Linked DNA regions of Zea mays. The main gene of each other region encodes a partner of the protein of the gene in region 2 in a complex. Links are inferred from orthologs where the notes say so. Each region holds a gene or a part of one and is shown on either strand. Other genes may lie near its edges.

The links.
Region 1: 50S ribosomal protein L13, chloroplastic-like (region 2) and 50S ribosomal protein L27, chloroplastic share a complex: the UniProt entries of both Arabidopsis thaliana proteins name them as parts of the 50S ribosomal subunit. The link is inferred for Zea mays from reciprocal best matches to the Arabidopsis thaliana genes emb1473 and RPL27.
Region 3: 50S ribosomal protein L13, chloroplastic-like (region 2) and 50S ribosomal protein L9 share a complex: the UniProt entries of both Arabidopsis thaliana proteins name them as parts of the 50S ribosomal subunit. The link is inferred for Zea mays from reciprocal best matches to the Arabidopsis thaliana genes emb1473 and RPL9.
Region 4: 50S ribosomal protein L13, chloroplastic-like (region 2) and 50S ribosomal protein L15, chloroplastic-like precursor share a complex: the UniProt entries of both Arabidopsis thaliana proteins name them as parts of the 50S ribosomal subunit. The link is inferred for Zea mays from reciprocal best matches to the Arabidopsis thaliana genes emb1473 and RPL15.
Region 5: 50S ribosomal protein L13, chloroplastic-like (region 2) and 50S ribosomal protein L24, chloroplastic-like share a complex: the UniProt entries of both Arabidopsis thaliana proteins name them as parts of the 50S ribosomal subunit. The link is inferred for Zea mays from reciprocal best matches to the Arabidopsis thaliana genes emb1473 and RPL24.
Region 6: 50S ribosomal protein L13, chloroplastic-like (region 2) and 50S ribosomal protein L1, chloroplastic-like share a complex: the UniProt entries of both Arabidopsis thaliana proteins name them as parts of the 50S ribosomal subunit. The link is inferred for Zea mays from reciprocal best matches to the Arabidopsis thaliana genes emb1473 and EMB3126.

Annotation. Positions count from the first base shown.
Region 1 is NC_050103.1:167,359,856-167,364,215, reverse strand, and holds 50S ribosomal protein L27, chloroplastic, read left to right. Parts: upstream 1-1,502; 5' UTR 1,503-1,564; coding exon 1,565-1,858; intron 1,859-2,699; coding exon 2,700-2,801; intron 2,802-2,910; coding exon 2,911-3,087; 3' UTR 3,088-3,215; downstream 3,216-4,360.
Region 2 is NC_050098.1:202,897,537-202,902,425, forward strand, and holds 50S ribosomal protein L13, chloroplastic-like, read left to right. Parts: upstream 1-1,392; 5' UTR 1,393-1,498; coding exon 1,499-1,723; intron 1,724-2,206; coding exon 2,207-2,392; intron 2,393-2,958; coding exon 2,959-3,129; intron 3,130-3,912; coding exon 3,913-4,029; 3' UTR 4,030-4,316; downstream 4,317-4,889. Other genes in the region: uncharacterized protein LOC100285659, read left to right, coding at 54-330, 437-693.
Region 3 is NC_050100.1:222,785,096-222,790,047, forward strand, and holds 50S ribosomal protein L9, read right to left. Parts: upstream 3,236-4,952; 5' UTR 3,164-3,235; coding exon 3,020-3,163; intron 2,494-3,019; coding exon 2,366-2,493; intron 2,053-2,365; coding exon 2,007-2,052; intron 1,761-2,006; coding exon 1,663-1,760; intron 1,483-1,662; coding exon 1,435-1,482; intron 1,342-1,434; coding exon 1,221-1,341; 3' UTR 1,164-1,220; intron 1,078-1,163; 3' UTR 853-1,077; downstream 1-852. Other genes in the region: methyltransferase WBSCR22, read left to right, coding at 297-461; Chaperone protein dnaJ A7A, chloroplastic, read right to left, coding at 3,886-3,931, 4,750-4,849. UniProt on the Arabidopsis thaliana protein: Binds to the 23S rRNA.
Region 4 is NC_050096.1:27,446,520-27,451,128, forward strand, and holds 50S ribosomal protein L15, chloroplastic-like precursor, read left to right. Parts: upstream 1-1,979; 5' UTR 1,980-1,980; coding exon 1,981-2,410; intron 2,411-2,671; coding exon 2,672-2,823; intron 2,824-3,411; coding exon 3,412-3,633; 3' UTR 3,634-3,718; downstream 3,719-4,609.
Region 5 is NC_050100.1:50,135,107-50,140,289, forward strand, and holds 50S ribosomal protein L24, chloroplastic-like, read right to left. Parts: upstream 3,343-5,183; 5' UTR 3,286-3,342; coding exon 3,157-3,285; intron 1,721-3,156; coding exon 1,682-1,720; intron 1,594-1,681; coding exon 1,366-1,593; intron 1,231-1,365; coding exon 1,048-1,230; 3' UTR 862-1,047; downstream 1-861. Other genes in the region: beta-glucosidase 25-like, read left to right, coding at 5,034-5,150. UniProt on the Arabidopsis thaliana protein: One of two assembly initiator proteins, it binds directly to the 5'-end of the 23S rRNA, where it nucleates assembly of the 50S subunit. Required for optimal plastid performance in terms of photosynthesis and growth.
Region 6 is NC_050101.1:154,264,673-154,269,501, reverse strand, and holds the start of 50S ribosomal protein L1, chloroplastic-like, read right to left. Parts: upstream 3,036-4,829; 5' UTR 2,981-3,035; coding exon 2,654-2,980; intron 2,554-2,653; coding exon 2,374-2,553; intron 2,287-2,373; coding exon 2,232-2,286; intron 1,673-2,231; coding exon 1,545-1,672; intron 1,199-1,544; coding exon 1,115-1,198; intron 1-1,114. UniProt on the Arabidopsis thaliana protein: This protein binds directly to 23S ribosomal RNA.

The DNA.
Region 1 (4,360 bases), on a different chromosome or scaffold from region 2:
ATTGTGTGAGACTGAGTGACTGACGCACCGTTGCCGACACACACACCAAACCCGGAGGAGGCTGGAGCAACGGCAGTTCCAGAAGAAAAAAAGGTACCAAAACCTGTCACTCATGGGGAAGGGATCACATTCACATTCACATTCACCAATCACCATCATGGCCGGTCGGTCGCGGCGTCTCTCTCTCTCTCTCTCAATCCTTCTCTTTTTTTACAGTCACGGCTGATATGATCTTGGGTTTTATCTAACCCTCCCCATCATTCTCGTTTAGACCCAGCCTGCCTGCTTGCTTGGCCTTTTCGTGTCCTTTTCAGTTCCAAACTATTCACCGTGCAGTGGCAAAGATCGATATGGACTAACATTTTACAACCGCAAGCACGCTATAATTTGTCACAAATAAACAAGAGTGGGAAAAAGATAGAGGAAATGCGTTGTGTCGGTCGGGTCCGGCCGGGGTGGGGTGCGGGTGTGGGTGTCGCCGGCGAATCGTCAGACGAGGCAATGATCGCCGGCGGTCAATGTCATCTCTCCGTCCCCCTGCTGACGGTGCGTGCGGTGCGGTGACTGCTGCTAGTACAAGTAGTAGCAGCAGCCTGTGAGCGCCGTGCGCTGCTGCCTCTTTGAAATTTCTGGCATCCCTAGTGCCGCCGGAAATCTAACGCACACGGAGACGGAGGAGTAAACAGTGCAAACTGCAGCGAGTGAGCGGATGGAGCGTCTGGACTCTGGAGAACACGAGATTATTAGTGGGTGGTGGTGGTGGTGGTAGGGCCCTGTTTGCTTGTGTGGTCTGGTCTGGGCCATGATTAACTTGGACCCCCAAACGCTCTGCATCTCCCGCGCTTTCGTCAAGGATCCTAATCATGCCATGTGTCGGTCGTCTCCTCTTCTTCCGGCTCCAGCTTTGCCGTTGCCGCCGGTCAAGCCCATCATCATGCCTACTGCTTCTCTTGCTCTTGCTCTTGCTCCACAACAAGCCTGCCTGTCACTCTAGCTAGCTTCCCCGGCTATCTCCCCACGTGCCGACGCTAGCTAGCTGTGGCCATTCAGCGTCTCTCTGTGCAGCTCCGGAGGGAGGAACAAGATGATGCCCTTTTGGTTCACATATCATGTTTGTTTAACTCTAACTGAGCCTATTCAGACTTATTATCGTTGGTACTTGAATGTGAATCATTATCGTTACCACTTACGTTACATATCATGAACCAAACACCACCACACTGATCATTTTGTTTTCCCCCTGAATGATTCCTTCGTGAATCCTGTGTTGCCTTGCCTAAAACTACAAGGACCAAAACCGGCCAGGAGCATAACACCATTTCCCTCCCTTCCAATTCGGCCAGACACTCTGCAAGCACCACGAGGCCCATCTGCAAGTAAGGCCCAAAAACTCCAGGACCCAAAACACTGGGCCAACCACGAACGAGCCCACGTCTCCCGACTGCATCCCTTCTCCACTCCGTTATCACCAGCGCCCACACCTCTGTACCTCACCGCCTCATCTGCTCTCTTCCCCCGTCTTCTTCCCAAGCTGCCACGTTGCCTCCCTCCGCTCCAGCGGCCCATGGCCTCCATGGCGTTCGCCCTGGCGGGGGCCTTCAAGGGCCTCTCCCTGGCGCCCACCACCACCACCTCCTCCTTCCCGCGCTGCGACCGCGCCTCGCTCTCCGTCGGCGGCGCAGCGGGCGTGCCGGTGCCGGTGCCGGCGCGGCGGCTCACCATCCAGATGGCGCACAAGAAGGGGGCCGGGAGCACCAAGAACGGCCGCGACTCCAAGGGCCAGCGCCTCGGGGTCAAGATATACGGCGACCAGCTCGCCAAGCCCGGGGCCATCATCATCCGCCAGCGCGGCACCAGGGTCCTGCCCCCCTCTTGCTCCCTTCGCTTCCCTTACCTGTTACTGGTTTGCTTTGGGTTAGTAAGACAGCCTAGGCTCTTGCTTGCGTGGATTATGGTACCTCGTTGACTGGCTCTGCTGGGCGACATAGCTCTCTCTGCCTAGCGTTTGCTTGCTGCTCACCTGCTGCTGCTGCTGCTGATGCAGGTTAAGCATATTAACCACCGACCAGTACCTTCATACGGATTACGGACTGCGAATGCTAGAATCTTACGATGTACCTAGAATGCTTGCCATTGCACATGTTACGTTGGAATGTATGCTGCCATTGTGCATATCTGCATTTTCCATAGTTTACCACTCTGCAAAAGCAGGAAAGAAAAGATTGCAGTTTCTTGCATACATCAGATAACGGGAGGGGAAAGTGCACACACAAACCTCGCTGGGGAATGTAACGTACTAACCTCAATGCCCTATGGAGCCAACTGGTGGTGACTTAGGGGGGTGTTTGTTTGGGATTATAATCTGCCCAGGTTATATAATCCAACAAATTTTGAACTAAACACCCACCTTACTCTGCACACATGGTCAGACATAGCTGTTCAATATTAGGCATACTGTAAGATGGTCGGTCAATCCTTGTAAAAGATATTTCATGAACTTACATGTCTTACGATTTGGTTGGTCCGTCCTACTTACCAGCGCGCTTCAAATATTTAAGATGTTTATATATTATGGATACTACATGGTTTATACCATCGTGTCCCTTGTATAGAGTTCGTTTTGGTCCCCGTTTTGTGGTCTGTCTGTTCCTTGCCGTTTTTAAGTTTTTTCTTAAAATAAAATCTTTTGGACATTTCAGGTCTATCCTGGAAATAACGTTGGAATGGGCAAGGATCACACACTCTTTTCTTTGATAGATGGACTCGTCAAGTTTGAGAAGTATGGGCCGGACAAGAAAAAGGTTAGCTGTATCTTAGTTACTACATACTGAAATCTGCTTTTACTTGCATCTGACTGAGATCTGGTTGCACACCAGATATATGCTCATCTCACTACCTCTCCTTTCATAGGTTAGTGTTTACCCATATGAGAAGGAGCCTGAAAACCCAAACAGTTACAGAGCAAGGAAGAGAGAGTACTTCCGCATGCGGCGTGAACGGAAGAAGGCGAGAGCGGAGGGCGCCGCTGAGCCTCAGTTGGTACTAGCTGCTGTTGATGAAAACTCTGAGGTCAGCGCGGACTGCTGATAAGTTTCCTGTGTGGTGTTTCTCTTTTTCACAGCCCTTGTTACACTTTTTCTTCCTTAATTGTAAGACCACATGATCTATAAAGGTCATATTTACATGTGTTGTTTAGATAAATGGATATGTTCTACTTGTACTTTTTGTGGGGTAGTTGTGCTTTAGAGTCACAGTGGGGGTCTATTCCAACTTCCTAGACCACTCCACGTAGGGCGTGTTTGGTTCGGCTTTTTTCTGAATAGCTTTTCTGAAAAGCTGGTGGTTAGAATTTAGGTGTTTGGTTCGCCAGCTGTGCGGAAAAGCTGTTCGTTAGAATCTAGGTGTTTGGATACACAGATTCTCAGATTGCAGATTCTGTTTGAAGAAACTATACACATTAACACCGAACCAACAAAAGGTCATTACATATAATTAGTGGAGTTCATTACAACATAACTACTGTTACATTTACATATTTAACTACGGCACTAATGCATTAGCAATTGCATCTCGAAATGCACTCATGTCTAACTCATCAGATGTGATACTACTACTCTCACCTACAGATACATCATGACCAAGGCTATTAGGTCCTAGTTCATCAAAGTCTCTATCGTGTAGAGCACTGTCTCTAATGAAGTTATGCAATGTCATACATGCAATAATTATCTTGGATTTTTTCTTAAGCGAAAATGAAGGGAGACTTAACAGAATTCTCCACTTCATTTTAAGCACACCAAAAGATCGCTCTATAACATTGCATAGCGACGAGTGTGCATAGTTGAATACTTCTTTGCTCCTAATAGGTTGCCTCGCATTTTGTCATTCTGCAATGTGATACTTCTGAGCCTTATAAGGTGCAAGGTACCCCTTTCTATTTGGATAACCTGAATCCATAAGATAGTATTTACCTGCACAAACAGAATTATACAGTTCAATACTTAAGACATAAATGAATATCGTATCATACAAAAGTACAACATACTTATTTACCTTCCGGTGGATGGGGGAACCTGTCCGCATAAGTTATACTTATTTACCTTCCGGTGGATGGGGGAACCTGTCCGCATAAGTTATCAAAGTATCTTGTAATACTCTAGTGTCATGTACTGAATCTGGCCAACCTGTGACAACAAATGTGAACCTCATATCGAAGTCACAAACGGCCATTACATTCTGTGATGCGTAACCGTGGCGACCAATATATTTGGGTTGCTCCGAGGCCGGTACAGACGCTGGAAAGTGAGTACCATCAATTGCTCCTATGCAATCCTTGAAGTGGGGCCAAAATCTCCCCTCT
Region 2 (4,889 bases):
ATTGGGAAACAAAGTGTGTTCAGATACTAAATCACTTAACATGATTTTTGCAGATGTTGACTCATCGCCTTTTCACAGAGGCAAGGTACTCTATATGGGTTGACTCTAAATACCAATTACGAAGAGATCCTATAGGAATGCTTGAAGCTCTTCTTTGGAGGACAAACTCTACATTTGCTATCTCTGAACATGGAGCACGGAGTAACATATATGATGAGGGGAAAGCTATTGTTCAAAAGCACAAGGCTACCCCTGAAGAGGTAGAGGTACAATTGACTCGGTATCGTCAAGATGGAATGCCGGACACAAAAAGATTGCACGGACTGAAAGGTCAGTCTGTTAATCTTTCTCAAACAATTGTTCTTTTGCTCCTGTGGAATATCTCTGTATATGTTTTCCGAACTGTTATAATGAATTTACCCGTTTGATTTTTCAGCTCTAGCCGAAGCCTCTGTTATTGTGAGGGAACTCACCCCTGCAACGAACCATTTCATGTGTGCTTGGTTTAATGAAGTGGTTCGCTTCACATCTCGTGATCAGCTCAGTTTTCCATACGTTTTGTGGCGGCTAAACATGCATGGATTGAGCATGTTTCCTGTATGCACTCGCAGGGATCTTGTGAATAGTTTGGGTCACACAAGGAAAGTAAAACCTCTTACACAGACAAATTCAGGGTCTTCTACTACTTCGTAACCTTCCTCCCAGTTCATTTGCTGGTAGCCAACTAACCATTGATTTACATATGGTTCTAATCGTCGATACTCGACATCTCTGGTTCACAATTTTGTTGTTGTATATTATCATCTTTGCGTTCTTCCTGCGAGGGAATCCTGGATCTGAACCAGAAACACGTTAAGCTGTTGCTTCACTGCAACGCAATCACACGATGTTGCCACTATATATGTAAAAGATATGCTTTCTTTGGTTAGAAGAGAATGAACACTTTTCTGCCTCCTTTCCGTTTCCTGATGGAACATGTGAAAATGGTGTCCGTTATCAATTAATTCGGCTTCTGCTGCTGATGGTTGTCGCGGAAACTAGCAGCAATGGAAGTTCTGTTCCCGTCATTTTATTTGGACTCGAGAATTTCTCTGATTACCGATGTTTCTAATTGGTACTTGAACAGCGGAATCGTTTGAAAAAAATATGGTCCTGTCTGAAGCTATATTTTGTTAATGCAGCTCCCTTTGCCCAATAGTAATACATTGAATTTCTTTTTTTTAGATGGAATTATGGAACCGCCATTATTCTGAGTTTGGGAAGAGTTTCAAAGGAAGCGTTTAAATCTCAGATGAGCTGATAAGGTGTCGTAATGGGCCAAATCTGCATTTCGTTCTGAGCCCATGAAGCCCATATGTTCTTGTTAACCTTTCCCTGTTCTTTGTCTCCTATCCCCTTATCCGCTTGACGCTCCCCACTGCGCCTAAAAATGGCCGCGTCCCACTGAACCAACCGTCTGCACATCCTCCTCCTGTTGCCGCTCGCTCGCCGTGCCGCAATGGCTACGGCCGTCGCCTCCCATACGTTGCTCTCCTCCGCCTTCGCCCCGCGCCACTACCACCGCCGCCTGACCCGGACCGCGTCCGTGGGGCCGCGCCGGGCCGCCCCGGTGGGACTGGCCGTGCGGTGCGAGAAGAGCGACAAGCAGAAGAGGCAGCCGCTCGCCGCGCTCGTGCCCCGCGAGCAGCGCTTCATGTTCGAGGGAGACGAGCTCTGCGGCCCCGTACGACGCTCTCTCTTCCTCTCTTGAAACAATGTGCACATTTTCACAGCTCGTTTTGCAGGATTGTAACCCTGGACTGACAGTGTCCATCCTATTTTGTTCATGTTTCACCGTGGCCATCTTAATCCACCTCAGAGGCTTCGACTATCCTTTTATGTGCATGATGAAGGGCAATCAAGTTACAATAGAACTGCGTACATTATATATGTTATCTGCCATGTGCCATCATATCCAAAATTACCCATGGGCTGTTTGTGGTGAGAGAGAATTCATTAAAAATGAGCTTAATTGGACATGCAAGTCAAAGTGAACTGATGGTTGCCAACCAGCCTGTTCATAATTGTGACTTGTTTAGGATCAGTTACTAATACTATGGGTACAAAGTGAATGGTTTGTTTGTACTATGCCTTGTTCTTTCTTCTAATGAATTACTCCACAAGTAATTGTGTCTACTGAAATCTGATTCAGTGATTTAATTTGCAGGACATATGGAATACAACCTGGTATCCTAAGGCTGCAGATCATGTAACTACCGAGAAGACATGGTATGTTGTTGATGCAACAGACAAGATCCTAGGCAGGCTAGCATCCACCATTGCAGTACATATCAGGGGAAAGAATGAACCCACTTACACTCCTAGTGTAGACATGGGAGCTTTTGTTATTGTGGTAAGCGTTCTCTCAATACCTATAGTGTTTGGAATCCCTACAGTTAACAGGTAGCCAGCTAACAAATTGTTAGCTGGGTTGAGCCAGCTAATGAACTAATTGTTAACTGTGAGTTAGCTAACAATTAGTTGTGGGTGTTTGGAACCTGTATAGCTAATTTTAGCAGCTAACTATTAGCTGTAGAGGTTCCAAACAGGGCCTTAGTATACATGCTTTACTTCCCTCAGATTATTTGGTACTGAGGTGAGTAACCTTCCTCAAATAATCTTCAACTGTAGTTGTGTTTAATGTTTATGTTAGCATAGTCCTTTTGTGACTGGTGCATCTCTAAAGGCTCATTACCACGTATTCCCTCAGTTCCAAGTTATAAGACTTTTTGGATTTTTTTTGGATCCATTACTTTTGCTACGCACTTAGACATAATTCATGTCCAGATATTTAGTAACAACTATGTATCTAGAATTACCAAAACATCTTATAATTTGGAACAGATGGAGTAGATGATATGCATTATTGTGTTACACTACAATGCTGAGAGTCATTAACAACCTTTTCTATTCACATAGGTCAATGCAGATAAGGTTGCTGTTTCTGGTAAAAAGCGGTCACAAAAGCTTTATAGGAGGCACTCCGGAAGGCCTGGAGGGATGAAAGAAGAAACTTTTGACCAACTTCAGAAAAGAATTCCAGAGAGAATCATTGAACATGCGGTTCGTGGCATGCTCCCCAAGGGAAGGGTAAGAAAAAACATCTACTAGCTGATTGCCTCAGGTCTACATGTTCTCTTTCTCGTTTTAGTGCGCATGTTATAATGTATGCCAAATATGAAAATGACAACCAAATTTCCTGGTGACCTTTATTTTAAGGTCCCAAAAATTACAATTTGGTATTAGTTAGCAGATGTGAATTTTTTCTTTTGAGATTGAGAACTACTATAGTTAATGGTGAGGCCTTGTTCGGTTATTTCAATTCCATGTGGATTGGTGTGTTGGGATGGATTGGGATGGATTTTGACTTGCTATGGATTTAAACCGACTCAATACCACTCAATCCACATGGATTAACGGCGAAACGAACAAGCCCTGAAGTGTATTGCAGTCAGAACATTGCTCATGCATCAGCATGTACCTCCCAGTGAAAGCGTGACATTCAGAATAAATCACAGTACTAAATTCAAGGGAATGTTGTTATTGAACAAAATTAACAAGTCCAGATTGAATTAGTTAATTATCTTGCCGATCTTTTTTTTTCTAAGTTCGCAAAGGTGTGTTGCATGAACTCCATAAAAATTGCCTATTAACCTTTTTCTTGCAAATTGCTTCTTAGTTCAATTGTTTGGTAGTATGGATGCGTTTACTGAAACTCACATTATGGCAGGCAAATATCTTGTTATCTGAAGCATCCCCCCTAACCATTCCATTTTTCTTGTTGATGGCAAATTTGATTTAACTTAGTTTTGTTATGTGCTATATACTTGTTATATTTACATTTATATGCTCACCTTTTTTGCCAATTTGCAGCTGGGAAGAAGATTATTTACCCACCTCAAGGTATACAAAGGGACAGAACATCCGCACGAGGCTCAAAAACCTGTCCCACTCCCGATCAGGGATAAAAGAATACAAAAAACTGGATAGAGAATTCATCGACTGAAAAGGATGCAGTGGCGAATTCCTCCCCAGAAGGTTTTGCCCTTTGTTTGGAATGCTATCCTCATAACCATGCCTCTGATCGGGGAGGGGGGGGGGGGGAGTATAAATCCTCTTTGTAATTTTGATGTTTACCAATGCATGAAATTCAGTCAAATTTCTGTCAATGAGTAGTCATGTAATATGGTACGGTTTAAATCAACCTAAAATCTTTATTTTCCAGTTGAAGTTTGTAATTTTGACCTCGTATGGTATGAAGTGGCAGATTGTTTCAATGTTCGGCCTGCCATCTGGATATACGAAATTGATCGACAGTTTTCATAACCAATTTTCTTGGGTGGCGAGGTGTGATATTTTCTTCTGAGTTTGTAGAATAGACATGTGCTTCCTCATGTGACCTATATCTTTTGGTAAAATTGTTGTGGATGTAACTGAATGCTGGAATGCGTGGGAATAAACATGGAAACATAAAATAAAATACCACACATACAGGTGACGGTTGGTGCCTTATGCAATATTTTAAGGTAAAACGCAATCGTGTTTGTGTTAAGACTTAAGAGAGGCAAATTGCCTAGGGTACACGCATAAGCATAACCGGGACTCCGGGAGTAGGCCTGGAGGAGTGATAAAAAGGATGCTGATGGAAAATTCTACGTTCATTTACCTTTTTGGTGGACCCTAAACATGAGGTCTTGACCTCGTGTTAATTTTTCCTTCAAAGTGCGAATGAGCTCTTGACCTCGTGTTATCCACAGCCATAAAGCACGCTACACACATAATTAAAACAAGGTAACTTTTAAAATCATCTTAAGTCAAACTATTAATTTGACTGACCTGATTATAGCAAA
Region 3 (4,952 bases), on a different chromosome or scaffold from region 2:
GTGAATAGGAAATTTCAAATATTATATGATGGAGATCCTTAAAACAAATGGCTAGGTTGCTTTTTTTTGTGCACATACTAATTAGTAGTCGTCTAATGCAGCAATGCTATAAAGTATGGACACTGCCGTTGTCTTGGATGCAGTAGTTAAATACTGACTCTTTATGCTTGATCACGAATCTTTGCAGTGTCATAGTTTCTTGTTTTTTACTCCCATATCTTATGCTCTTACCGTATGATTGTGGATGTGTATCAGTATTATGCCAGCACTGGATGAAAATTTATCTTGAAATGCAGGTGGGAATATATGAAAGGAATAGGCCGAAGAAGCGGCAGAAAACGAAAAAGAATGGCAAAGGCAAGGATTGGCTCCTGAGGAAAAAGGAGCAGATGAGAAGAAGAGGACATGATGTGCCCGCCGACACGAAGTACACCGGGCGTAAGCGGAAAGGCTATTTCTAGCTCTGTGCAATGCCCCCTTGCCTGCAATGCTGGCTGTTCAGTTATGATGCTAGTTCATTTAGCAGAAGCAGAAGGATTTTTGTAAAGGGTGAAGCGAGGAGTTGTACTGGTATTCGGGAGTCATTGCATTTTTAGACAACGATGTGAAACTGTCATTTTTGTAGAACGTGGATGTTGAGATGAATACAGTTGGTTTGCGTGAATCTGTATCAGATCGCTGGTGACGCCCAGACTTTGGCTAAAAGAAACGCAGTTCATGTGTCAAGTACGTTGGTGTTCCAATCTGAATAACGCTCTATGGAGCCCCATACTTAGCAAATTTCTTGCCTTTTTTTTGTAGTGGATGCAGACGTAGAGGTGGGGAAGGTTAGAGGACAAGAAAGAAGGGTCGTTTTTGGCGAAGTAGTGCTCTACAGTTCAAACAAATTGTTCTTTACAACAATTTATATTTTCCGCCTCAAAATCAACAGATATAATTGTTGAAAACTTGACTTCACACGGTAGGGAATAGGATGCGCAGTGAGCCAGTGAATTGTGTATCAAAACCAGGCAAGTCACGGCCAGACCAGGCCTCATGTCTACCGCAGCACCTGGCACTTGCAGCAAAATCTCTGCACTAAACAAAAGCAACTGTGTAAGAGCAAGACCAGCGGAATTCTAAGAGCCAAATCTCAAGGAAAGAACAACGGCAAATGAGCTCGCCTGGCAAACATCAGGCTTCTCCAAAGTCCATTACTCGAGGTTCTGTAACTGCTGAGCTCATTTCGCATAGACATTCAGCCTTACTCGCGCTGTCACGTCTGGGTGAAGCTTGATCTCTGCAACATACTCTCCGATTTCACGGATTTCTGGAACCGTCACCAGCTTCTTGTCGACATCCCTACAAGACACAGCGTGCCAGCAGTAAGAGAAGCAATATAATGATGAGAAACGCTATTAAGATTGCCTAGGAGTTAGGAGCATATGCACTTGCCTATTAAGTTGTGACTTTATTATGTCAACAACATCCTGTGCCGTGACACTGTACAATAAAAGATATCGTCAGAAAAGTGAAAGTAAGACTATACCCAGCAGATAGTGACACTATAGATTGCAGTGTGTACAAAGTAGAGTTTGAAATGAGAGATGGAGATGGGTAAGCTGTAAGAGATAGCCTGAGACAAGAGAGAATAAATAATGGATTGTCCAACTTAGAACTTGCCTCCCAAAGATCTGTTTTCCTTTTCCACCTTTGCGAGGGAGTTTGAAAGCGCCAATGGTTTCAAAAACTCGAGCAAGTTGTTGCGCGTCTTCTTTTACCTATGTAAATAGAGGACTTCTTAAGGCCATAATTATAAACAAAAACTGATAAAAATGCATTGATAGAATTTCATGAACATATCATGCTTAGGACTTAAATTACGGAGGACATAAAGGCACTATATTTTCTTTTCATAAGGAAAGTAAGGATAAACTGCAATTGAAGTTTACTCTCCAGACAAAGAAAAAGGTCGCTGAGGTTAAATTGCAACTACATTTATTACTGAGTAAAATATTTTTTCCTACCCGCTTCTTCTCAGCTTCTATTCTCTCCTGCTCCAGCTGCATTTCCCTGCGAAGAGAAGTAGAGGCAATAAATTCATTCGCAATCTTACTTACCCATCGAATCAAACAGTATGTGTGTCGACCATTGCAATTCTATTAGAAAGGTGCATGGATTGGATTCATATCTCAATCTAGTTTTGCTAGGTGCCTAGGTCCCAAACCTCAGAGTCAAACTAAGCATACCACAGAGAAGGTCATACGGTTGCCAGCAGCCACTGAATCATTTGACAGAGTGTGGACTTTGCAATTACTTGAGGATTAAATGACATAACTAACAAAGCAAAGCAAGTGAGGGATAACCGAGAGCTGGTAGCAATTACTTGAGGACTTCTGGGGTCAGAAGTGTAGCCTTGCCCTTGGGAAGGAGGAAGTTGCGGTAGAATCCAGCTCGCACCTTCAGTGTATCCCCTTTCTTCCCCACCTCTTCTATGTCGTCTGTCAATATGACCTATGGGAAAGAATTGTTTTTTTTATGGAGAAAGGTAAAATCACATGTAATGCTAAGGGTGGCGGTAATAGCTACACAAGATAAGCACCACATTGTCAATTTAACTGGATGCACCGTTGTTGCATTCTTGTACAATCAGGCAAACACAGCAAAAGGAACGACTTATGAACTGAACTCCAACTAGTGAGGCAAGGCTCCCATCAAAGGTATTTCATCCCTAGTATCTAAATCCCCTGCCTAAAAGCCTGGTTAGTAGTAGTAGTAGTACAACTCTTGGAGCATCTAAATTGTGCGAGCCACTATATCTTACCTGTTGCCAGTGAGACAGCTAAGCTAGCTAACTTCATTTGTATCTATTGATCACAATATACAAACGTACCGACGGCGGTGCATCAATTTTTTTAGAGAAGAAAACTAAAACGCGGCAGGTTATGATGCCCTCAGCAACCCGCGTGCATTAACTGATTGCTAAGATGAAATCAGCACAGAACTCGAACATAAGAACACGCGGAAAGCCCGGGCCGACCTGGCGGTACTTCTTGACCTTCCCCTGGGCGACGATGACCAGCGACGGAGCCCGGCGAGAGGCCGTGAGGCAGCGCCCCGCCGAGGGCCGCGGGTAGGAGGCGGGGGTCCAGGGCAGCGTGGAGGCGCACGACAGCGACGCCATTGCTCTCGCGCTTCGCTACTCAAGCAAGTGGCGCTTCGGTCGCCTCCTCCGCTCGCACCGCTTTCCTTTCTTATCCATCCACTGACTTCGCGAGAGGCCTAAATAATGGTTTGGGCCCGGAAATGAGAAAGCGGCGGCGGCGGCCCAATCGATCTGGAATGGATAATGTCACGGCTCCGTAGAGCCCGTTTCACAGCTTCTCTCGCCTGTCGCGCTGCGTCCATGGCGGGAGCCTGCGCGGTCGCCGTGCCCGGATCCAGCCGCGTGAACTGCCGGCGTGATAGCCCTTTCTCGAAACTGAGAATTCGATATCACCGAAACGTATTTCTAATAAATAGTTCCATCGCATCTTGTAAGTTGGATAAGTTTGCAATTCGATATCGGTGAATTTGATTAATCCAAAACCTCAAGTACAGTGTTTGTCTAGTCCCGGGGTTTGGGATCAGCATCCCACAGCTTCAGACTTCTACGCCGCTTGCCAGACTGAAAAGGACTCCAACTACATAAAAATAATTGCTTGGCAAGAATGACAAGGGACCAACGCCGCGACGATATTAGTTGACAACTTTCACTCCCTCGGTTGCCACTCAGCCTGAAAATCTTGCAGCTCTCCAATAAAACGAATATACGAGCTCGTGGGGACCCCCAATGAATCTAAGAACTTTGATTGGACTACAGCACCATGTAAGACAATCTTCTATCCTGCAGTAAATATTTACAGCCTACAGGTTGTCGTTCAGCCACTTCGCAGCGCCATTAACAATGGACCTGAAAGAATTCAACATCTAGGTCAGAATACAAGAGATAACCCAATCACAAAAATGTCTGATGAACTAAATCAATCAACATTTTTTCCTCTCGAACTCAGCCAACCTTTTATTTTTCTCGAACACAACTAACACAGTTAGGATGGCTCAAATTTCAACAGAGGTTATGCATCTGCATTCAAATCTCCCATTACTACAGTGTAATTTCCCCTTTTAAAGAATACTCGGAAATGTAATGCAGTGACCAAAAATATAGTTCATTACTACAAGATTAAGTTGGGTTGGTTCAGATTTCAATAAAAGAGGCATCTGCATTCAACTTCCCATTACTATTTACTACACTAGACCGGACGGGGCGCTCCGCTGCGCCAGTTTCGAAGTGCGTGAAAGAACAGGTAAAGTGATAAGTCGTTCAACAGCGATCGGTGAACAGTAATATTCAGAGATACATCAGCCAACACGCGTGAAGCCACGGCCGCAGGCTGGATAATTTAAAATGCAGGCGTGAAGAGAAAGGCGTTCAGATTTTAAGAAACTTAATTTGTAATTTTCCCTTTTAATAAAGGAGTACGTGAAAATGTAACGGCTGCCATAAACAACTAGGTAGTTTATACTTTATACCACCAGAAGTCCAGAACAGGGAAGTATAGTACAAAACCTATATGCTCAATGTAATGATTTTTTTTTCAGCGCGGTGTTACCTCATTACCCTTTAGTTAAGAAAAAGAGACAATACAAAACCTATTTTTCAGCAGGATGAACAGACATAATTATCACGTGATTTTTGGCATTGTAGTGAAATCAAATCAAAGAAGTTACCCAGCAAAATCTGTAAGTTTCTTCAACCAGTCACCCTCTGCTTCTTTAGATTTGCTTGTATCTTCTTGACTAGCACCAACTTCTTTCTCTTGATGTATGGCTGCAACAAAGATAAAAAATGTAAGGCTTCAATTTTCTCTTAAGAAAATCTCATTCCACATCAAGCGATACCAACAAGACACCAACAAACTTCTCATAGTAAA
Region 4 (4,609 bases), on a different chromosome or scaffold from region 2:
AAGGTTTCAATATTAAATTCAAGGTACAATACAAAACCAAGCTCATCATGCAACAAGATTGAAAACCTGGTTCATCATACAACAAGATTAAATTCAAGGTACAATGCAAATGATGACTTCAAGGTAAAAAATACAAAGCCAGTCATCTCTGTCATTTCTTCCTCTCCTCACAGGTTCGCTTCAACCATGCAAGCTTTCCTTGTGGAGTCTTAAGAGTGGTAAACACATCTCGATACTCCGTATTGATAAAGTGTTATGTGGCATAAAATTGTTCATCGCTTCCTTCACATGCCCTAGCCTCAATAGTTGACTCTAACATTTCAGCTATCTCTTGTCTAACATAATCATTAGGCAGAGAAGCTGGAGAGGACTTGCTTGAACTAGCCTTTTCCACAAATGAATCTCACAGATTGCAAAGCATTAGATTTAAAACTTCCTATCATGTTAGTCCATCTAGATAAGATGAATTTCTAGATGATATCAATATAAATCACACTAGGGGAGATCATTCATCTAACTCGAAGCAGGATGCACAATTTAGCATTATGATTAAGGTAGAATCATAAGTATGAGCAGCTATCAGGGCAATTCCATGATATATATTTAAAACTCAAAACACTAAATACTAATCAAAGCACCAGTTAAGATACCAATTAAAAGTACTCACTAAGGTACCCATTTTTGTGAACCATGAAGGTGACAAGTCTCAATTACACCCTTGTAGCTTGCTCAATCCTCCTATCCACCTTGAGATTATGTAAGATCACTAAAGAAAACATTAGTCTCAAATAACACAAGATATGTGTGCTCCCCTCAAATTCTGCATCAAGTACTTGAATACAAGGTTACAATAAGCGCTAGGCGTTAGGCGGGCGTTAGGCCACTGTTTAGCGCCTAGAGAGCTTAGGCGTAGATTAATCGTGCTTAAGCGTTTGTAGGAATATACAATATAATATATATATTTGCACAGAAAAAACAGTTTTAGCTAGGAATTAGGGGTACTTACCTGGAATAATGAATAAAAGTATAGAACAGAAGAGATGGAGGAGCAGAGCAAGAGCAGAGGGAGAGGGAGAGCACGCCTGGATAGCTAGGGAAAAGGAGCAGAGAGGCGCTGACCCCGGTGGCCTGGACGACTTGACCAGAAGGAGAAGAGGAACCGACGGTGGCGGCCCTGGACAGCTGGGGAAGAGGACCAGTCTGGCAGCGGCCCTGTTTTCCTCCTCTTCCATGCAACAGCAGCTGCAGCTCCCAGCCTGTTTCACTCTCTCCCGGGCAACAGCAGCTCCCACCTCTTTCCCTCCTATTCACTTTCTATTCCCGCGCAGCAGCTTTTTTCTATTCCCGCGCAGCAGCTTCCGTGCTCACCTTTTCCCCGCGCGCCGAACCCCGCTTCCACACGCCTCCTTTCCGCCTCAGCGCGCATAGCGCAAATCACGCGCCGCCTACACGCGCCCACCGCGGAAACCACCGCCTAGGGCCTAAGCGCAGCGCTAACATGCCGCTTAGCGTCTAATCGTGATTAGGCGGGCGCTTAATCGCGCTTTTTTGAACATTGCTTGAATAACTTATTCTACCCACATTCTAGCAATTAAGGATGTGTTTGGTTGCCGGACAGAGTTTTTTGCTTAAGTTTGTGCATATTGCAAATCTTTTTGAAAAGATGTGAAAAAGGTATGGTTCTATCCCTTACTCAATTATTTTAGTTGCTAACTATGTTTGTCTAAGCGTTAGAGAATATAATGTATCAAAGTTTTGATATAGTTCTATCTTCTATTCAGAAAAATACCGATTTTTTCTTCTTTATATACAACTTTCGAGTATATTATTATTATTGACATGAATGGGCCACGGCTGTTTGAAAAACAGGCCCAAATAAAGAGTGGAAGAGGCCCATCGTCTCCATCTTATCTCGTTCCCAAACCCCAATTATCCGCTTCTATCCACAATCGCAATTCGCAAGCCCTTCCAACGGCAGTCATGGCTTCCATCACCCTCCTCTCCCTCGCTCCCACCGCCATCTTCCTCCACATCCCGGCTTTCACCTCCTCCTCCGTCGTTGGTCCCGGAATCCTAGCCGGCCGCTGGGCCGCGCCCCGCGCCCTCCCGCTCCGCGCGCTCCCGCCCCGTCGCGTCACCGTCGTCTGCAGCAGCGCCGCGGCGGCAGCCGAGGCCTCGGACGCCGCAGCGCCAGTGGAGAAGTTCCGGCTCGACAATTTGGGGCCCCAGAAGGGGTCCCGCCGGCGGCCCAAGCGTAAGGGACGCGGTATTGCTGCAGGCCAGGGCGCGAGCTGCGGGTTCGGTATGCGCGGGCAGAAATCGCGCTCGGGGCCCGGCGTCCGGCGCGGGTTCGAGGGAGGGCAGATGCCGCTCTACCGCCGTCTCCCCAAGCTACGGGGCATTGCCGGCGGTGAGTTGCTTCAGTTAAACCGAAGCTTCCCCTAATGCACTCAATCGAAGCAACTCGCTAAGCTCTAGTTCAGACAGATGCTTGTCTCACACCCCCACTTCGGCATTGCCCATCCGTGATTAAATTCACACCAGGCTGGCGCATAACTAATTGAACTATGCATTGTGTTGTTACTCGTGAGAGCCCATCAAGGTTACAAGGAATGCAGAAATGCAAGTGATTGAGAAGTTGCCTGATGTGAGTTCCACCATGGCTTTTCAGGGATGCACATTGGCCTGCCGAAGTATGTGCCATTCAATTTAAAAGACATAGTGCGCGGCGGATTCAAAGATGGTGACGAAATATCACTGGAAAGCCTGAAATCACGGGGTCTGATCAATCCATCAGGCAGGGAAAGGAAGCTGCCGCTGAAGGTAAATCTTTTGATGATTAACCTTTGGTTGTTTCAATAAAACTTGTTTTGTGGACTGGTATTTGTGACATAGAACTTGACACGTTCGAAAATATGAATGACTTCATATTCAAGGGTTTGGCTTAGGTCTTGGCCAGTGAGGACATGTTCTCTTTAAGGCAACCTTATTGTACCCCAGATTTGAAGCAAGAATCGAAGTGTTTAGTGATTTGTCGTTAGATTGAGTGGCCAGTATTCTTACTTTTTTACTTCTTATAGGTTGTTGTATCGATTCTGAATTAGCCTGTGATAATGTTAGGTACCAAGTTTATCCACTTGAGTTAGAGTCATCTATTAGAACATGCAATACGGGATCGAGTTTTTTTGGTTGTTTCTGTTAGATGAGCACCACTTGAAGTGTTGAATAGCTTTGTTTGTACAATTTGGCAATGTTCCCATAGGTTGTTCATTGGATTTACAATATATTCTAGAGTAACTACAAACTTCCATATCTGCTAACATAAACATGAAGTGGCATGTGCCACCTGTTAGTTTTTGCAATCATATTTTGTCTTACCTTCATGATCACTTGTTGTTCACCTGTTTGTAGATCTTAGGAGATGGGGATGTATCAGTTAAGTTGAATATCAAGGCTGGAGCGTTTTCAGCTTCAGCTAAAGAGAAGCTTGAGGCAGCTGGTTGTTCCCTAACTCTGTTACCTAAACGAAAGAAATGGCTTCCACAAAATTATCTAAAGAACCAAGCCCGAGCAGAAGAGTACTTTGCCAAGAAAAAAGCTGGTGCTGGTGAATCTGATAGCGGCTCTGCATAGAATTTCTTTGCGATGTACTCTTCTCTTGCTTTTAGCATATGCTTATTACTGAGCAAGACACACCGGCTCAACTAAAAATGTTCATAACTTCTTCATCCAAACTCTGACTTCGATGATATTAGACATTTCGGAAATTTTATTTAAAGGGCTACGATAGCCACTTTAATAATTGATTCAGAACAAAATGGACTAATCCAGAATTCAAATCCAAAGACACAACCCTTGGTTAGGAGAATATCGAAAACCTTTTTTTACAAAGAAAGTTAACTCCAAATGATTTCCCACGTGATGATCAACACCTTTAAGACTTAGTTAGCATTTTCAAAGGTTTTTTATCTCAAACTTTATCCACCACTTGATCCTAGCAACATATGCAAAGTTAGATCACTCAAGTGGCTCTAGATGACAGATATGGAAACAATGTTGACTATCTTAATAGTACGACCATCTATTTTAAACCAGATTATGCACAATTCTACACAACCTTTGATTGGTGAAATGAGATGCTCTGCAAGTAATACATTTCCCTTGTACATTCTATTTCATCTCCCGAAACAATGACACAACACAAGCATCGACCTCTATCATCAAATGTGAACATTGATCATTCATCGGTGTAGCGAATCACGCTACATTTGATCATAGCACACTGGATGAAGTTCCTCCACAATGCTTCAACAAAAGCATGTAACTAGTTGTTTCTAATTTCCACGTCAACGCACCATGCTGCTTTTAGGACTAGTTTGGAAACTTAAATCCCCTCAGGATTCCTGAGGAATGAGGGGGAAATTAAGCTATATAGAGGGGAAACTTAAATCCCTTCAACAAAAGCATGTAACTAGTATTCTAAGAGGGGATTTAAGTTTCCAAACTGGCCCTTATATGTATCAACAAATGGAAAAATGATCCATGCCACTGATGAGAAGAATTCCAGGCACATGGATCATTCCTTGCTCATGAATTGTGTGTGAGAGGA
Region 5 (5,183 bases), on a different chromosome or scaffold from region 2:
GCATGGCGGTGTCTATGCTCCCCGCAACGCCTGTTGGATGTGTATCCAATGCGGTCAGTAGAGCCATGAAGCCGCCGCTGTACCCAATTGGCGAGGTTGCATCCATGGTCGTGCAAAACCTACATCACGATCAATCACCTAGGTCAATGAACGTGGCCGCCGTACCTTACACGAACCTGAGAAATTGGAGACCGTGGTGCACTGTACCCTTCTCTGGAGGAACGGCTCGGCTCCACTGATGCCGATCGCCGCAGGCCACAAGCAGGAAACGACGACGCAGGCGAGGACGAGCGGTGGAAGCGGTGGCCATGGAATGAGGTGGAAGCGGTGGCCAGGGAACGAAGTGGAAGCGGCGACCAGAATACATGGGGCGGCGGCCAGAAATAAGGATCATAGTTGTTTCTGGCGCACAGGGAGCTTGGGGGGTTCATCAAAGATTCAGAGGGATTCAGGAGAGGTGGAGGGTGTTTTCTAATAAAATGCGGAGTTGGGAGATGCAACCGTTTGATCGAAGATTAGAGACTGAGATGTTATATGTGCACTATTGCTTCATGTGCACAGGTTACTTCGCCTTTGTAATATGCCTTTGTAATATAGGAAATGATATATGTGGATATTTCTGAGGAAGTGAGGACGAGACCGAGAGTAGTGGGTCCAGAGCTGCAAACGAACACGGGCTGCCCGCACATACAAGCCCGTTCAGGGCTTGTTCGGTTACACCAATCCAGAGGGGGATTGGAGGGGATTAAATCCTCTCCTAGTCAAAAATGACTAGGAGGGGATTTAATCCCCTCCAATCCCCCTCTGGATTACTGTAACCGAACATGCCCTCATAGTTTTTCATCCAAAACTCTGACTGGTGAAGCGGAACAAGATCAGCATATGCTGATGCGCATTGACTTGCGTTGCAAGATTTGGTGACAACTGTATAATTTACAGGGGGAAAAACTGGCGTAAATAACAACATAGAGGGATAAACAGGCTCAATTCAACATGCAAGACGCAGTCAGCGTTCAGAGCATTTTGCAGGTTTTCATGCTAAAACTGTTACTCCGAATTTCCTTCCTTAAAAACCTTTACCCACTTCTCAACACTGTCGATTACTTCACCGGTCTTGACCAGGTATCGGACCTTGGTCCCGTCCTCCAGGAATTTGTGGCCAACCCTGCTTACCACACTCTTCTCCTTAGAGTAGAGCATCACATTTGAGCTATGAATGGGGCCTTCAATCTGATCAAAGAAAATTTAAGTCTGATCAAGAGAACGATTAGGCACCTACTAAAACTACAGATATGCTCTTGAAACCAATATGTGCAAAGCATCATGAGAGGCCCAAAAAACAAGTTCAATAGAAATTTTGCTGACCATGACGATTTCACCGGGTTCATCGTCTGTGCCTTTCTTGTGCTTCGACTTCAAGTTCAGGTCCTTCACGATCACCGTGCTGTTGTGCTTGAAAAGGCGTGTGACTTCTCCAACCTTTCCTTTCTCACGGCCTGCAATAACCTGTACCGTGTCCCCGATCCTAACATGCATCTTGTGCAGCACAGGAAGACTGTTTGGTTTACACTTCTTTCGCTCCCATCTCTTAAGCTGCAGTGGAAAGTGAAGTTTTAGGACATTTCACATTATTGGATAAAAAAGGTATCAAATATTTGGACTAAAGATTTTTTTTACTCACTCTCATTTCAATTGGGCATATCTTGACCATAAACCTTACCTGCATATTGAACATATTAAACAGCTTGTCAGAACTTCACATCCTAAAGACATAAGATTCCATTTCAAATCAAAGAGACACTAATCAGATGCTTCTGAGATATGGCATGACTCAAACACAGTGGTTACGATTCATGTTGATCTGATCAAGACACTACAGGATCCAGGGCTCCTCTTTATGTTTGAGTAATACGATATCCCTTAAAATACAGTGGTTCTATCACTTCCTTCAACAGTGATTACTTGACCTCACTATCTATTCTTTACTTGCTTTTGCTTCTTAACAGAAAGGTTTATCCTCATCCGATTCTTATCAGTTGGGAATTTTCCAGGCACAAGTACATACAGGTAAGGCATAATAAAGATGACACAGAAAAGAAAGCAGGGTTCAAATACAAACATCATTATGCTCATAATACACTATTTGGCGCCAAATTTTGTTTCCAGTTAGTCATATGTATTGTGTGATGTGGGGTAATTCAGGCATAAATATATATAAACAAAATCAGTGGCACATTGAGGGCAACATAATTTCTTCAGTTGACATTTTGACCGCTTCAAAAGCAACATAATTTCCTCAGTTAACAAACTAAATAAAGAGTACTCGAACAAATTTTACCACATGAAACACAGCATACTCTCTATTAGCACTAAAAGGCAAACATGTGCATAGTTGTATATGCAAAAAGGACAATACCGGATTACCAATGACAAAGGAAATTCTCTTACTTAAATTAATCCCAATCAGTTAATCTATTTGGCGCACTCAAATCTTACCATTTAAGCTTCCATGCAAGATAAAAATAAAAAAAGAAGGTAGACGAAATTCAATATGGACACGGTCTAAATTTAGTGTGTGTCGTGGAGCAAATAGAAACTTAATGTAATATGAAATCTAATAAGGGCGAGTTTGGCATAGTTCTACTCCAAAACTTTGGGTGAAGTATATCTGCTCCGAAGTGTAGATTGCTTTCTCATAACCAGTGCATTGGATGTGTCTTGATTGTTTTTGAAGGATTTTTCAAAGTAGCAAAAAATGTACTCCAAAAAATTATACTACAACTCTCAAAACTCTATAGAGTTTGCAACTCTAGAATTAGGGTGTTTAGTTGACTTTGTCCAGGTCTTCCTTAAAGTTTTGCTCTAGAGTGATGTCAAACACCCCTAAACATAGTCATATTAGAAGCCTGGTTTGTCATCCTTGAAAATGCACAATTAATAACAATGCAAAGGTAATTTTCCATTTCATTGCATCCAATCCATACAGACTAGCTCCAAAACCGTAATGCAAGCTCGAATGTCCCTAGAACAATTCCATCCGACCGCGCTTTGCAACGCTATCCAGAAACTCCAGAGTAAAATCTTTCACCAGAACAGCTACTTATTATCTACCAAACCATCAGCAGAACGGAACGGAATTGGGAAGCAGGAACAGACCCCAGGCTGCGGCGCGGAGTAGGTGGCGAGCCGGTTGCCCCAGAAGCTGCTGCTGCTCGCCGTCGCCGCGCCTAGCGCGGAGATGGAGAGCGACGCCATGGCGCCCTGCAGCGATGCCATCCCAGCCATCCTCTCGCCGCTCTCCCTCTCTCACTGGACTTGCTCAGCGCCCAAACTGCTCAAAGGATAACGCACGCGGCTTCTTCGAGTTGCCCGGAACCGGAAGAGAGAGGATAACGCGCTCTTGTATTCTGACGCTGGTGGGTTGGGCCTCGTCACTAAATGAGACAGGCCTCAGGTGAGGCACAGATGGGCCTGGAAGACGCTTAGGTGATCCAGTGAGGCCCATGGGTGCTCGTTCTACCGCCGTGAGAGGCTACAGGCTAGGGCCTCGGCTCCACGAGCGAGCTCCGCACGCATCAGCTGATCAGCATCACTGCATCAGCTATCAGGACGACAGGACGAGGACGGCGGGGTCAAGGCTCTCTTTCTCTCTCCCTCCCTCTCTGCGTGTCTCCTCGCACGCTACGCGAGGCCACGCGAGATTGCTTGGGAGATGCGTGCCCGCCTCCAGATTCCCCGTTCCAGCGCCGAGGCGCGCAAGCTACGCGACGGTTGCTGAGGCAAGCGAACCCCCTACTCCAGTTTTTCACTTTGCTGTTGTGTAAAATAAAATTCGCGTTACAGAGACAGAGACAGTTTGGGCGATGGAGGGTAGGTGGATGGCGGTGACATCGAAGCTTTGCGCTTTTGCTGCTGCAGGTCCCATCCTGCACCGAGAAAGGGTGGGATGTCAATCGGATTTCTCTATTGCAAATCATGGTTGCAAGTTAGACGTGTTTACCTCAGATCTTTTTCTCCAGAGACATTGGGTATCTCTTTTCTCATAGTGGACTACATTTCTCCCCCTCGAAGTCAATATCTCTTTCTTCGACTTTTCATTGCTGGCAGTTCTGCGCATGTCCTAAATCCTTGAATCATAGTAGGACATCCATGACAGATCACATAAACAACACGGCCAATACATCACTGGGCAGTTGGGCCTCGGCTCCTATCGCCGTCATCTAACTACCATCTAGGGAATCAGGAATGGTCCTGCCGTGCAAGCAAACCTTTAACGTTCCCCATGGGATAAGCATGTGACTATGCAAATGCCCGACACAAATTATATCTTATTATGGTTAAGAATCTTGTGTTTATTTTTCTCTTTCTCCTTTTCTATTCGCCACATGTGTTGAGATAACTATGCAAATCGTGACATGAAGTTTTGTTTCTATGTGGCGCTACCAAACAAAATGGATAAGGAAATGTGTGGCTTTTTTCCATGATAATTGCGACAGTTTCATTTCGTAGCTATCTGTTCCTCGTGGCCATAGTAATGCTTTGCACTTTGTTAATTTTGTAAGAAAAGAAATGGCATGATCTAATAATAAGGCCTTCTCTCTATGTGGCTAACTGGCAAGGGCTTAGCAATCCTCCCCCTTTCTAACTATAACCTTTTAAGGCATGGATGCTGGAGTGCTGGGCAAAACTCAATCTGTCTGGGCAAAGCTCTACTTGCTTGCGACACTCCAGATGTGGACCATTTTTTTTCACAGGTTTCGGAGCTAGACATGTCAAGTAGTTTCCTTCGGTTGTTGATTAATTTGCCCACTGTGATAGAGATTTTGCACCTTGTGGCCTCCACAAGAGTTACTTAGTAGAGACGCACGTTGGAAGGGCTTCCAAGACAAGTGAAGCTCACTAGCTCAGCGTTCAGTTGCTTCCCACGCTTCACCAACTGAACAAGGTTTATATATATGTCATATGATCCTATCTAGTACTTATTCTTAGACTAAAAACACTATGAGTTAGTGCTACCAACTGAAGGATACGCCATGGCTGTTCTGACACTGGTTAATATCCTTATCAGCTTCGCTGCTTGTGCTGAAGCTCTAAGGAGAGCAGACTTCCCTCAAGGTTTCGTCTTTGGCACTGCTTCTTCAGCTTACCAGGTATGGCCTCTTTCATTTCATCCGATGTGCTCT
Region 6 (4,829 bases), on a different chromosome or scaffold from region 2:
CTTCCAAATGAATAACAACATACATGTCAGTAGTCCTTAGTCCATTTTGAGTTTTTGGTACTTCCACCCTTACTTCTAAATAAAATAATCTGAACTATGAAACTGGACCAAATTTTAAGTCATATCCCTGAATCAACTGCCTCACTACTTTTGCTAGTTATTATTGTCAATGCTTTATGTTGTTATCTAGGGTGAATCGGGATTTCATAATATTATTAGAGTAAATTACACTAGTCCCTAACCTACCGCACGATTCTCATTTAGATCCCCAAACTATGAAATTGCATATCTAGGTCCCTAAACTATTTAAGTATCCCATCCCGGTGCAAAACAGTCACATCACAGTTCATTAGCTAACATTGCACTCTAGCGTGGAACCGACATGCATGTCCATAACTCATAATTACAAGGATGATACCTAAACTATCATTGGATTCTTACAAAAGTCTCAAACTATAAAATTTGGATTAGGATTGTAGTACTTTAATAGGTTAGGGACCTAGATGAGTAGTTTTATAGTTTGGGACCTAGCTGAGAATCCTATGATAGTTTAGACAGCCCTTGTAACTATGAACTATGGACCCATATGTCAGCTTCACGCTGGAGTGCCACGTCAGTTGATGGACTGTGATGTGGTTATTTTGGATCAAGATATGATACTTATATAGTTTAGGGACCTAGATATGCAATTTCATAGCTTGGGACCCAAATGAGAATTACATAATAGTTTAGGGACCGCCAGTGTAGTTTACTCATATTATTACCACTGATAACGCTTCATATCTTCCAACATGTGTCTCATCTAGTTTCCTCGGCGATCAGTAAAACCAACTATTTCAACTTCCTGAACTCTTGCTATGCACAATTAAATTACAAACATGTGTTCAATAAAAACACCATGCCTGAACCTTGAATTATCGGAGTACAGGAAAGTAAATGCAACTGATAAAGGTAGGAAGTTACTTGTACATGAATCCTAGAAGTCAGTAAATACTACAAGGGCATGAAGTTTTAAATCTTGTCACAGTGCCCAGACTAAGCAATGAAGACAAACGATTTAGAATATCGATAAAAAAACTGAGGCAAACAAAATCTGTATTGACTTCCTCAATACCTGAGTAATATTTGAAGAAACAGTGCCAGCTTTGGGGTTAGGCATCAGTCCTCTTGGTCCTAGAATCTTACCTAAGCCCGCAACCTGAAAAGTAAACAGAAATAACTCAGGCTGATAATCATTTAAAGGGGAGCCCACATTGAAAGTTTCTACGAACATGTCAAATAATGCAACAAATATATACAGAACTTTGGACATTTAGTTTAGCATTAGTTATCAAAGAATGAAACATCTCACACATGTATTCTTGTATTCCGAAATTAGATTGGCATAGCCAATCTATTTTATCTATAGAAAACAAAAAAATTAACAGTTTACATGGTAAGACACTTAGGACCTATAGTAAGCACAACTAAATATTTCATTTCAAATTTTGTGGTAGTATCCAACAGTAAATTGAAATGAAGGCAGAACTGTTAATAGCTCATACCTTAGGCATCATATCAGGTGATGCAATCAATTTGTCAAACTCCATAAATCCTCCTTTTATTTGTTCAATCAAATCTTCTCCACCTACGATATCAGCTCCGGCAGCTCTAGCTTCATCTATCTTCTCACCTGTGAGGTCAGAAAATAACTATTAATGCATATAATGACCATGATTATTTCAACTACTGGTGCTACCATCTTTATGATAATGACAAGAAAAACATGACTATCTTTCACAAAGGATATGAAAGAGAAGTTTCAGTCATTCAACAAGGGTTTGCTAAGTGGACAGCACAAAAATAGCACCATCCCAACTCCCAAGTGACTTCTTGTAAAAAACAAAGAAGTAGAAACATCATGAACATAATAAACTGATTGTTAAATTCTTCTACCAAGATGCCAAAGATGAATTAACTTTGTCCAATCCAATATGTTGCATTTGAACTCTGAAAGAAGCCATGGTACTTTAAGAAGAAAAAAAATACAAAATTAACCAATCGGGTCATCAGCACACAATGTTTGCATAAAAATAAAGACAAGCGTGTTTCAGATTAAACCCATAGTCACACATGAGGCAAGGCAATAGTGTCAAACAGAACAATCACACATATGACCCACTAGCACAGTGAATTCAGTTTGTACTAACTATCGCTCAACAGGATTTCGTTGTGTTTCAATCACCGCCCACCTTGTGTGAGAACCGCAATCTTCACCGACTGGCCTGTTCCCTTGGGCAAATTCACCTGTGGTCACCACGACCAGCACAAATTAACGAACGCAACAGGGCACAAGCAACCAAAAAGAGAAGGCCAGAAAAGAAGAAACAATACCGTGGCCCGGAGCTGCTGGTCATTGTACTTGGGGTCGAGATTCATGCGGAAGTGCGCCTCCGCTGACTCAACAAACTTGGCACTGGACATCTGCTTCATCAACGAGATGGCGGTGGGCACGTCGTAGTCCTTCTTGCTCTCCCTCAGCTTCTGTATCTCGAGGAACCTCTTCGACCTCGTCTGCGCACCATCAAAACTAGCACAGCATCACCGGCCGTACACAAGCAAGCAAGCCACAGGAACCATATACGGAGGGTGGGGTATTCGGCGATATGCGTACGCGGTCGCGCTTAAGCAGTAGCGCGGCCTTGCCGGTGCGCGGGCGCGTGGGGGCCGTGAACGCGGGGCCGCGCCCGCCCTCATACCCGTCGTCGTCGTCGTACTGGCCCTGCTGGTCGACCTCCGCCTCCTCTTCGAGCACGGCCCCCTGCGGGTCGGCGATGGCGGCCGCGGCGGGGCGGCGGAACGCGAGGAGGAGCCGCGGGTACGCACGCAGCGACGGCACGGAGGAGGGGAACAGCAGCGCGTTTGACGAGGCCGGCGCCGTGCTGCTGGCCGCCGGCGCGAGGAGGGAGGAGGAGGCGGTGGCCGCGGCGGCTGTGGCCATGGTGGAGGCCGGGGAGGATGGCGCAGCAGATAAGAGGGAGTGGAGGGATAGAAAGAGAAGCCGAAGTGGCAGCGCGGGTTGGTTATAGCCGAAAGATCTCGGCCTGGGTGTTCATCGGATAGGGCTGGTCGTGGGCGGGCTCGCGGTCGCAGCCTCGCAGGGGCAGGGATGACGGGCGCCGCGCCTGGAAAACTCCTCCCCCCTGATTCCAGTGATTTTGGCTCAACCGAGACGCCCGGTCACCTGCCTGATCTTGGTTGGGAGTTGGGACGAGCGGGTGTACGAGTGTGCGATCGTGTCGTGTCCGCGCGGGCGACGGGTAAGGAGAAACACGGCGAGTTGGCTGGGCCGAGACGCGCGCAGGTGTTCGGAGCTCCTGATTTGGCTCAGCCCCGAGGACCGAGAGCCATGCGGATGCGCGCGAGGCAGCCGGACAGGTGTGTGGTCGCGGTTCGCGTGTGGGTTCGAGCGGCAGCGACGAGGGACGCATGTGTGGCTGTGGCTGCCAGCCTGCGACTGCGAACTGTTTGTGTGTGGCCCTTGACTCTACTCTATATCTATACTACTATATTATTTAGATTATCCACCAAACAAATTCAGATAGCTGGATAACTCTATCACCCTTACTCAAATTCAATGATGAACAATATTATCTAGATCATCTATCATTTGTCATGTCACCCTTCCCTTTCCCACAATCTGTCGCCTCCAACCTCTCCCTCCCTCGCGTCCCCGTCGCCCTCTCCCCTTCACTCGTGCCTCCACCGTCAATTCCTCCTATAGTTCTGAGGCCTATGTTGTAATACATTGGTAGTGTGACCATAACATGTGGTTTTCTCACTTTGTAATCAGACTTTAGGTTGTTTCAATGGCACACCACTCCACATACATACAATGAACTTTAGAAAGTGCAGGAGCTCCAACTTTTTCCCCTGCTGCCACCATGTAGAGGGAGAGAGAGAAAATTATCTCATATATCACTACACTTTTAATATAGAATTTTCTTTGTGCGTCGCCATGTGTCTCTCACGCGTGAGTAGGGGTGGTAATGGGCTATAAACTTTATACTGCAAATTTTAAGGATCGAATCGGATTAGGGTCGGGCTCTATTCTTATTCATTTTTGAACTAATATTATTTAAGGGCCTTAACTTTTGTGAAGAGGCATTTGGATCGTGATCCATTACCACCTCTACGCGTGAGCGCCCGTGTCCGTCCAACGCGGCAGGGCTCCTACCACTATGGCACACATCCATTTGTGGTACATAAAGGAGAGATTATATATATCTATACACTATAATTTAAAAAAAAAATATAATCATGTTTGAATATATATATATATAATTTAAGGAAATGCAACATATATGATATACAAAAACTGTAGCAATATTGAGAGCACCTAGAAAGGGGTGAATAGGTGATCCTGTAAAATTCAACACTAATAGCCACAAAACTTAGTTGTTAAAGTTAGAACGGCTAAGTAGCTTGAAACGAGCTCTTGCGAACACAGACAATCAAAAAGAAAGCACATAAGAGACACGTGATTTTTATCTCGTGGTTCGGCCAAGTAATACTTGCTTACTTCCACGTTGTGGCGTCCCAATGAACGAGGGTTGCACTCAACCCCTTTCAAGTGATCTAATGATCAACTTGAATACCACGATTTTTCTTCCTTGTCTCTTTTTCCCGTTTGCGAGAAATCTCCACAAGTTGGAGTCTCTCGCCCTTACAATAAAGATCACAATGAAAGCACAAGAGTAAGGTTGGGAAGCAACACACACAAATCCGCAGCACACACACGCACACAAGCCAAGACTTGAGCTCAAAATGAAGCACACAGAGTTCACAAC